Alligator mississippiensis: one gene and its partner. The protein of the gene in region 2 purifies or fractionates together with the protein of the main gene of each other region. This does not show direct contact. Links are inferred from orthologs where the notes say so. Each region holds a gene or a part of one and is shown on either strand. Other genes may lie near its edges.

What was found. Proteins that work in one complex are often made in the same cells at the same time.
Region 1: the proteins of PSMB2 (region 2) and FBXO7 purify together in Homo sapiens (affinity purification with mass spectrometry; 3 studies listed by BioGRID and IntAct, counting the BioPlex papers as one, with this or other methods). This does not show direct contact. The link is inferred for Alligator mississippiensis from reciprocal best matches to the Homo sapiens genes PSMB2 and FBXO7.

The regions. Positions count from the first base shown.
Region 1 is NC_081827.1:103,412,042-103,415,787, forward strand, and holds the start of FBXO7 (F-box only protein 7), read right to left. Parts: upstream 2,372-3,746; 5' UTR 2,369-2,371; coding exon 2,247-2,368; intron 425-2,246; coding exon 118-424; intron 1-117. UniProt on the Homo sapiens protein: Substrate recognition component of a SCF (SKP1-CUL1-F-box protein) E3 ubiquitin-protein ligase complex which mediates the ubiquitination and subsequent proteasomal degradation of target proteins and plays a role in several biological processes such as cell cycle, cell proliferation, or maintenance of chromosome stability.
Region 2 is NC_081829.1:8,712,354-8,716,099, reverse strand, and holds the start of PSMB2 (proteasome subunit beta type-2), read left to right. Parts: upstream 1-1,202; 5' UTR 1,203-1,297; coding exon 1,298-1,388; intron 1,389-3,746. UniProt on the Homo sapiens protein: Non-catalytic component of the 20S core proteasome complex involved in the proteolytic degradation of most intracellular proteins. This complex plays numerous essential roles within the cell by associating with different regulatory particles.

The DNA of each region.
Region 1 (3,746 bases), on a different chromosome or scaffold from region 2:
ATCATACACCAAGCAAGCAGCGAGAATCACAATGCTTCAGGCTTATGCACAGCTAAGTGGTCTAGCAATCAACATTATAAACATGGCATATCATCATCTGTGCACCGCAGTCCTTACCATATCAATATCATCATTCTTCTCATCTTCGCTTGGAGCTTTATGGTCTTCAGATGGTCCATTCTGCCTGCTTTCTTCTGAACTGCTGATCTGACCTTGGCTGATGTTCAAGGTGGACAGTTCATGATTATTCTGGAGCTGGGGAGGAGGTGAAGACGAGTGTGGAGATAGGCTGTGTGCTGCATTGGTCTCTTCCAGTAACAAACATATCAAATCCCCTGAAACAATTCCATATGAAGCCAGGGTCTCCTGGTCTTCAGTAAGGGCATCTTTGTTGTTCAATGTTATTGCAAACTGGGTATCAGAACTGCAAAGACAGAAATAAACTGCTCGGACATGTGCACTAGCATCCCTTTAAATTATTCATTCCAACTACACAAAATATAGTAGTAGTAGTATTAAACTGCTTTGTTAAGCCTGAAACCCAGTCTCAATCAGCCCCATGCTAAAGGAATTGCTGGAAAAATAAATGACCATAATATAAATCTTTGACAGAGACTAACATAAGTCCCTCTGTTTTTCTCTTTATGATAATTTTACCTAATGCACAGAAACTTACAAAGTCTGAGTACTTAGGAGTAGGTATAAGCATGCCTGCTTTCCAAAAACTGCTTTAGTCTGCAATGTGCCTTTACAAAACAAATGCATCTGGAAGCCCTCCTAAAGTAACCTATCATCTTGGGCAAATCAGGGCAGAAATCTTCCCTTTGTGGCCAGCTAACTTTTAAAACAACGGCCTAACAGTCTAAGCCACCTCGCTTTCCAATTAAATCAATGCATTTGTTTCAAGAAGCCACATGCGACCTCCTACCTTCAATTACAAAGGCGACCTGTGGGCAAAGCTGTTTCAGTGCATGATTATGTTCTGATGGCACAAAAAGCCATCAGCAGATCCTAGTTTTCTCTGATAAAAAAAAAAAAAATCCCGAGTTTTCAGTTAAAAAAGTAACCCCATATCCATTTTCCATGATCAAAATGAAACACCACTATATGATCACAGATGTACATCACTTGTGCACATATGATGAAATGTGTGTGTGCGTGTGTGTATGTACACATGTGCATTTTGATCACAGAGAAATGTGGATTTTGGGATACTTTTTTAAATCTGAAAACTGTCTTTTTTTTTTTTTTTTCAAATCGGAGAAAACCAGGCCATCACTTAATAGAAAAAGTTCCCTTCTTTGGTGAGTCCTATAGGAGTCTCTAAATACCATACTGCAATTAGGGTCCAGTGGGCTGGTAGTGTACATGCATGCTGGCTGTGAAACACTTTACTTCAGTGTGGCAGACTGAATGGGTTTGCAGCAGAGGAGCAAGAGTTCATTGCTGTGACTACTTTTCAACAAATTTCTCTGCAGGAAAGTTTAGAGATGAATGTGTCAAGATAAAATGTATTACATGAATGCGCAAAAAGCAATTGAGCCAAGGATTTGGGGGATGGGGGTGGGTGATATTTTATACTGGTTCCAGTGCATGACTGGGAAAACATTTAGACAAGCTTTCAGGCACAAGAAAACTTGTGACAAAATCTCACCCAACCTTGCAGTAGGTCCAACAAGAGACATGACCCACTGCCCCCAGAAAAACCCTTGCCTTTTGAGTATTTCCTTGACCATCACAGCTACACCATCACTCCAGTACCCCTGAAAGGCTCTCCAGGCAGCACCCAGGGTGGGGGAGATCAACTGGTGGAGAAGCAGGGGACTGAGCCTCTCCGAGCCCATGAGGGCAACTCTGGGGACAGAGACAGCCACAAACCCCTGCTGCGACAAGGGTGGTGGCAGCGTGGGGGCCAAGGCCCAAGGGACCCGCCGGGGGCGCCAGTGGAGGCCACAGCTCCACCCACCTCAGGTGGCCCCCAGAGCCAGGCCCCGCCCACAGCCCCAAGTCACGCAGCCAGGTGCCAGCACCCCCAGCAGCCTCGCCTTCGCCAGAGGGCGTGGTAAGAAGCCATCGCGCGGCCGGGTCACGTGACCCATCCCCTCAGCCCCAGCGCTGCTCTCGGGCGTCCCCGCAGCCTGCGGGGAGGGCTGTCCAGCGGACTGCCGGCGCCGCAGTCCGCCGAGGGGCTAGGGACATGGTACAGAACGAGCGCCACGCCCCTCCCCCAGTGGTTGGGTCCGTACCTGTACCCCCACGCGGGCAGCACGGCCTGGCACAGGTGCGCGCGCAGCTCCCCCAGTGTTGGCTCCGCCCCCCCCACCTCGAGCGGAGCCGTCTGCTTCTGCAGCCGGGCGCGGAGCTTCATGGCGGCGGCAGCGACGCCTTTTCGCTCCTGCCTAAGGATCCAACCTGGCGGCGCCGACGCGGCAGCAGCTGCTGCTGCTGCTGCTGCTGCTGCTGGGGGGTGTTGTTATTTGGGTTGGTGACGCCACTTCCTCACTCCATGGGAGCCCCGCCCCGGCCTCGCCCCTAGGTCATGGGGCGCGCACCCTGCTCCCTGCCCCACAGGTGACGTTGGGGATCGATGATTGGGCGATCCTCACAGGACCTGCGTCCTGCGAGCGCGCACGAACGCAGGTGGTGAGCAGGGCTGAAGTGCGCAGGCGCACGTCGATGATCGGGTACTCGGGTAGCATGCGTCACAGGCTCGAATCCAAGCAGAGGGGTGGGTGTGGGGGAGGGGCGTGACGCAGATCCGCGTTCTCTCTGGGTAATTGTGGGAGGAGGCAGCGAGGTCCGGCCCTGGCCCCACCCCACAAAGGGGCGCTAGGCGTGGCCGTTAAAACCGTTGGAGGCCGCCCCGCAGGAGGCGGAGTGGGAAGGCATAGAGGACATATAGCGCAACTTCTGAGGGAGGATGTTCCCTGTCTACGGCAACCCATGCAGAGCCCTTACTTGACCTGTTTGTAAAAGCATAGGGTGACCCCTGACATGCAGCAGCCAGGTATGGTGCCTTGAGCTGCCACACCAGAAGGACCTGTGGCAAGTTTCTGGGTCCAGCCCCCTGCATCAAGCATGAAAGGCAACTGGGGTCAGGTGACCCCAGCAAAGTGACAGTCCAGTCTCCTCTTGAAGATTTCCAGGGTAGGCATTTGCACCACCTGTGTGTGCAGGCCGGGAGCGGTCCGAGGCCCTCAGGGTTTGTTTTTTTTTCGCGTGGCGGGCTGTGGCCAGCAGCCCGGACACGCCGGGTCGGGGAAGGCAGGCGGCACGCTAGAATTAGGCACGGACGCTTAGTGGTTGATTTAAGATTATTTTACTTACACCAAAGATGGTCGCAGTGCAGGCAGGAAAACTTGCTTGAGTTGCAGTTACAGACAGAAAAGAAGAGAGGCGGACTAGAGTTCCTTCCCGTGAACCTTCTAGCCCAATCCGGTAGAAAGCTCTAAACCGCAAGCCCGTCGTGTCAACCGAAGAAAGTAACTCGAAGCAAAGAGCTCTGAATACACTCACACGAAGTTTGCTAGGCTCCGTGGAACTTGCGCACAAGGAAGGGTACGTCGAGGGATCAGGCGGCGACGGGGAGAGGCAAGAGGTTGATCAGACCCCTGTAGCCTTCTTAAGATACACGCTGGGTCTGATAGGCTCCGCAGCGCTTAGAGATCTTCACAAGATGTGAAGTCCTCCTCCTCCTCCAGATGGTTGTGGAGTCCTCCCTTGCGGGGTTCTCCTCAGAGTTCTCC
Region 2 (3,746 bases):
TGAGTAGGTGGTTAAGCAAGGCAAATCCTAGGTGGTTAAGCAAGGAGTCTTGTCTCATGCACCATCCACTGCAAAAAAATGTCTGCTAAGTTTTATCTGCAGTCTGAGCATGATGTAGCATTAACTAGAAAATGGCTTCTCAGATCCTAGTCTTTTTTGTTTGTCCCGGGGGGTGGCAGGGGCGGAGGGAAATCTTTACAATGAGATGGGCCCAGGATCGCCAAATAAAGAAGGAACCTCAGCCTGTGCTTTTGTACCTTTAGAGGACGACTGCACTTCAGCACGGCACAGGTTATCAGAGACCAATATTTGAAGGTGGCACAAGGAGATCGCAGCACCTGCACGCCCAAGTGGAAATTGGTATTATGTCTGTGTAGAGTCCTCAATACAGGACTGAGATATAGGCTGAGCACATGAAGCAGCCTTTTTTTTTTTAGGTTGCTATTGCCACATGTCTCTTCCCGGCCTACCCAACGTAACCCTAGACACGGCAGGAACGGTGCCCACGTTAGCTCACGTTCTTCTTCCGATGTGCCACCACGAGGGCACCTGGACACGTGCTCGCCCGTAGCCTGCTCGGCGCACACGTGCCGACGGTAGGGTTGCCGGCTCCGAATCTGTTCCAGGAGGTTTCATCCCACGATGGAACAACCCCAGCCCCCCCGGAGTCCACCGGGATCGGCATCTCGGTGACTATTGAAAGCAACACGGGGATTTTAATCGGCTATTTTACGAAAAATCAGTGAATAGGACAAATGCACGGGATTCATGTATGGACGTGCGTAAAACATAACGGCGTCGTCTGATCGCGTGTCTCTTTCCCTTGGCAGCCTAATGACATCGTACGTCATGTACAGTGCAATGAGTGATGTCATATTGCGGAGGGGGGGCAAAAAATCTCCTGGAATAGCTTCAGATTTGACAACTCTATGGGCAAGGGAGAGATGTCCCCATGGGCTAACTCAGCACCAGGCGAGGGCTGCACCCCGCGGCGGGTTGCGACACCCCTGGGCCGGGTAAGGGCGGGGAAGGCGGGAAAACCCTGGAAGCAAATGGCAGCGCGGCGAGGACGGGGTTAAGGGGCCGGGCGGAGCCCCGGGGCGCGGCTAGCAGTCACGTGACCCCGGTCTAGGCCAGGCACTGAGTGCTCTCTCGCGAGAACTCGGCGCTGACGTCATCTCCGTGCGCCGGGCGTGCGTGCGCCTTCGCTGTGTCACGTCGCGTCGTGGAGGGGGCGGAAGCGGCTGCCGGGTCGGACCGGAGCTGAGATAGAGCGAGCGCCCCCCTCCCCCCCGCCATGGAATACCTCATCGGCATCCAGGGCCATGACTACGTGCTCGTCGCCTCCGACACCGTGGCGGCCTCCAGCATCGTGCAGATGAAGCACGGTGAGAGCCGGGAGGGGGATGGGGACCTCCCCCCCTCCCTGCAGCCCTTCCTCTGGTACATGGGGACTTCCCCCCCCCCGTCCCTGCAGCCCCCCCCCCCCCCGTGAATGGGGATCCCTTCCTCCTTCCTTACTTTTAACTGCAGGGAAACTCTGGAGCGACTCCTGTGCTGCAGAGAGGTCGGGCAGCAGGCACATGACCCGGGGTTCACAGCCCTGTGGGTTCCCACTGCAAATCTCTGTCTCCTGGTTGCCCACCTACGAGCACTCTCCTTGCGTGGCCCCGTCGCAAGGATCTCGAGGCAACCATGGAGAACGCTGGCTTAGCGGCTCCCGTTGGGCCTTCCCCTCTAGCCCTACTGATGACAGAGACGTTGTGCGAGGGCATCCAAGCCCAGCCCCTGCTCAAAGCAACAGTGTTTCTGACTAAGGCATCCCAGCCCAGGGTCTCTCTCACCTGCGTTTAAAAGTTTCTGAGCACGGGGAATCCACAACTTCTTGAGGAAACCTGTTCCTGTGCCTGGCCTCACCTCCCTCGTGCTCAGAAACGTCCTCCTCATCTCCAGCCTAAACTTCCCCTGCTGCAGCTTGAGTCTTTTGCATCTCAACTTGTCACTTTTATAACCACAGAGAAAAGCCCATCTCCCATATTTTCTCTAATTATTACCCTTAAGATATTTGAAGACAGTTATCAAATTCCCTTTTGGGCTTCTCGTTCCCAGGCTAAACAACCCTAGTTCTTTCAGCCTTTCCTTTGTCTCCCAGGCCCCTGATCATTTTTGTGGCCCTGGATTCTTTCTAAACTGTCCATGTACTGCTTGAAGTTGGGGCCTGAAATGCTGTATGTTGCATTGGCTAAATGTAGGATCGGAGTCAGTTGGAGCAGGCCAGCAAGATAAGGAGCCAGGGATTATTTGACTAGACCAGCAGTAAGGACAGCACAGAACAGCACGCTCTGGACCTCTTTCTGGATGTTGTTCTGTTATAAGCACTGGATGACAGGGCAATGACTTCCAAAGAGCTCCTCCCACCCAATGAGAGACAGCGTCAGGGAGAACTTGAGGGATGTTAATTGAAACAAATGCATGCATGTCTTGGAGCTTTTGGTTGTTGGGAACCCAGTTCGCACCATCATTTCTTAGTTTCTTCAAGTAGAAAAAACAGCCGTAACTGCTCACCTGAAATACCGTAGTGAGAATAAAAAGCAGTTACTATGTATGTTCTTTAGCGTGAGAGTATGCAAGTTCAAAGTTGAAACGGTACTGGAGAGCTGTTTGCTGATGTACTATATTTATGTAATGCTTACCAGGTCTTTCACTGTAAAGTGTCGTTTTATTTAAATGAGGGGGAAAAACCCTTTTCCAACAGATTTACGCAAACCAGTATAACTTTTTGTTCAAAATGATACAGTGTGCTAAACCTTCTGGACAATAAAGATCATATAAATAAATGATGGCTAAGGTTTTAACTTTTTATTTGTGTTACTTTAATTAACCTACTTTTTATAGTTTTAACTAGTAGGCCTGGATTTGGAAACAAGAGCCTCATCTGGATACAGTACTGTCAGTCTGAATAATGGTTCAGGCGAACCCATGTTTTTTAGGTTCCCTGGTCTAGACTTTGAGTGGGGAAAGGGTTGATCTTTCATATACTTACAGACAGTCAGTTGAAGTGTTTACGGGGGCATAGTTCTTAGAACTAATATAGCTATGTCAAACGAATGCAGTCAACTAACTACGTAAACATATAATTCTTATTTCTCTTAAGAGCTGTACTTTAATTAGAGCAGTACTGTTAGCTCTAGGTGTTCTAAATATTATTTCAGACCCTTCAAAAATCATTTAAGCCTTTTCAAAAAGGTTTCTAATTTACATTTGGGTTTTTGAGCCTTTACAACTTACTCAGTTAACACTTCAAGCTCTTTTTCCCTTGCAACCCAGTCTACTAGGAACTTCCTTTTAAAAAGGGAATGGGGAGGAGGCTATGAACCTGCAATTTCATAAGCTTGGCAGCTGAGGCTTTAAGAAAAATAGCAAGCATGCACCAAATATTAGGAAATGTTTTGCAGAATTGCAGACTGGCAACACTGGCAGCTCCTTCTGAACATGTGTTGTGATAGCCTTTTTATAGGGAGTATACAGTATTGAGGGTTCGGTAATGTTTTCTTCAAATTGCAAGAAAATCAATCTGCACAACGGTTCCTAAATTCTCACGCAGGCAACTTTTAAAGTATTTAACAACTGCATAATACTCTCCAAATCCTATTAAAGGATTGCGATATTTCAGAAGCTTTCTAACATGTCTTCCAGGGGAGATTATGCAGCACTATATAGTAAATTGAAAGTGAAAGTGAGATTCA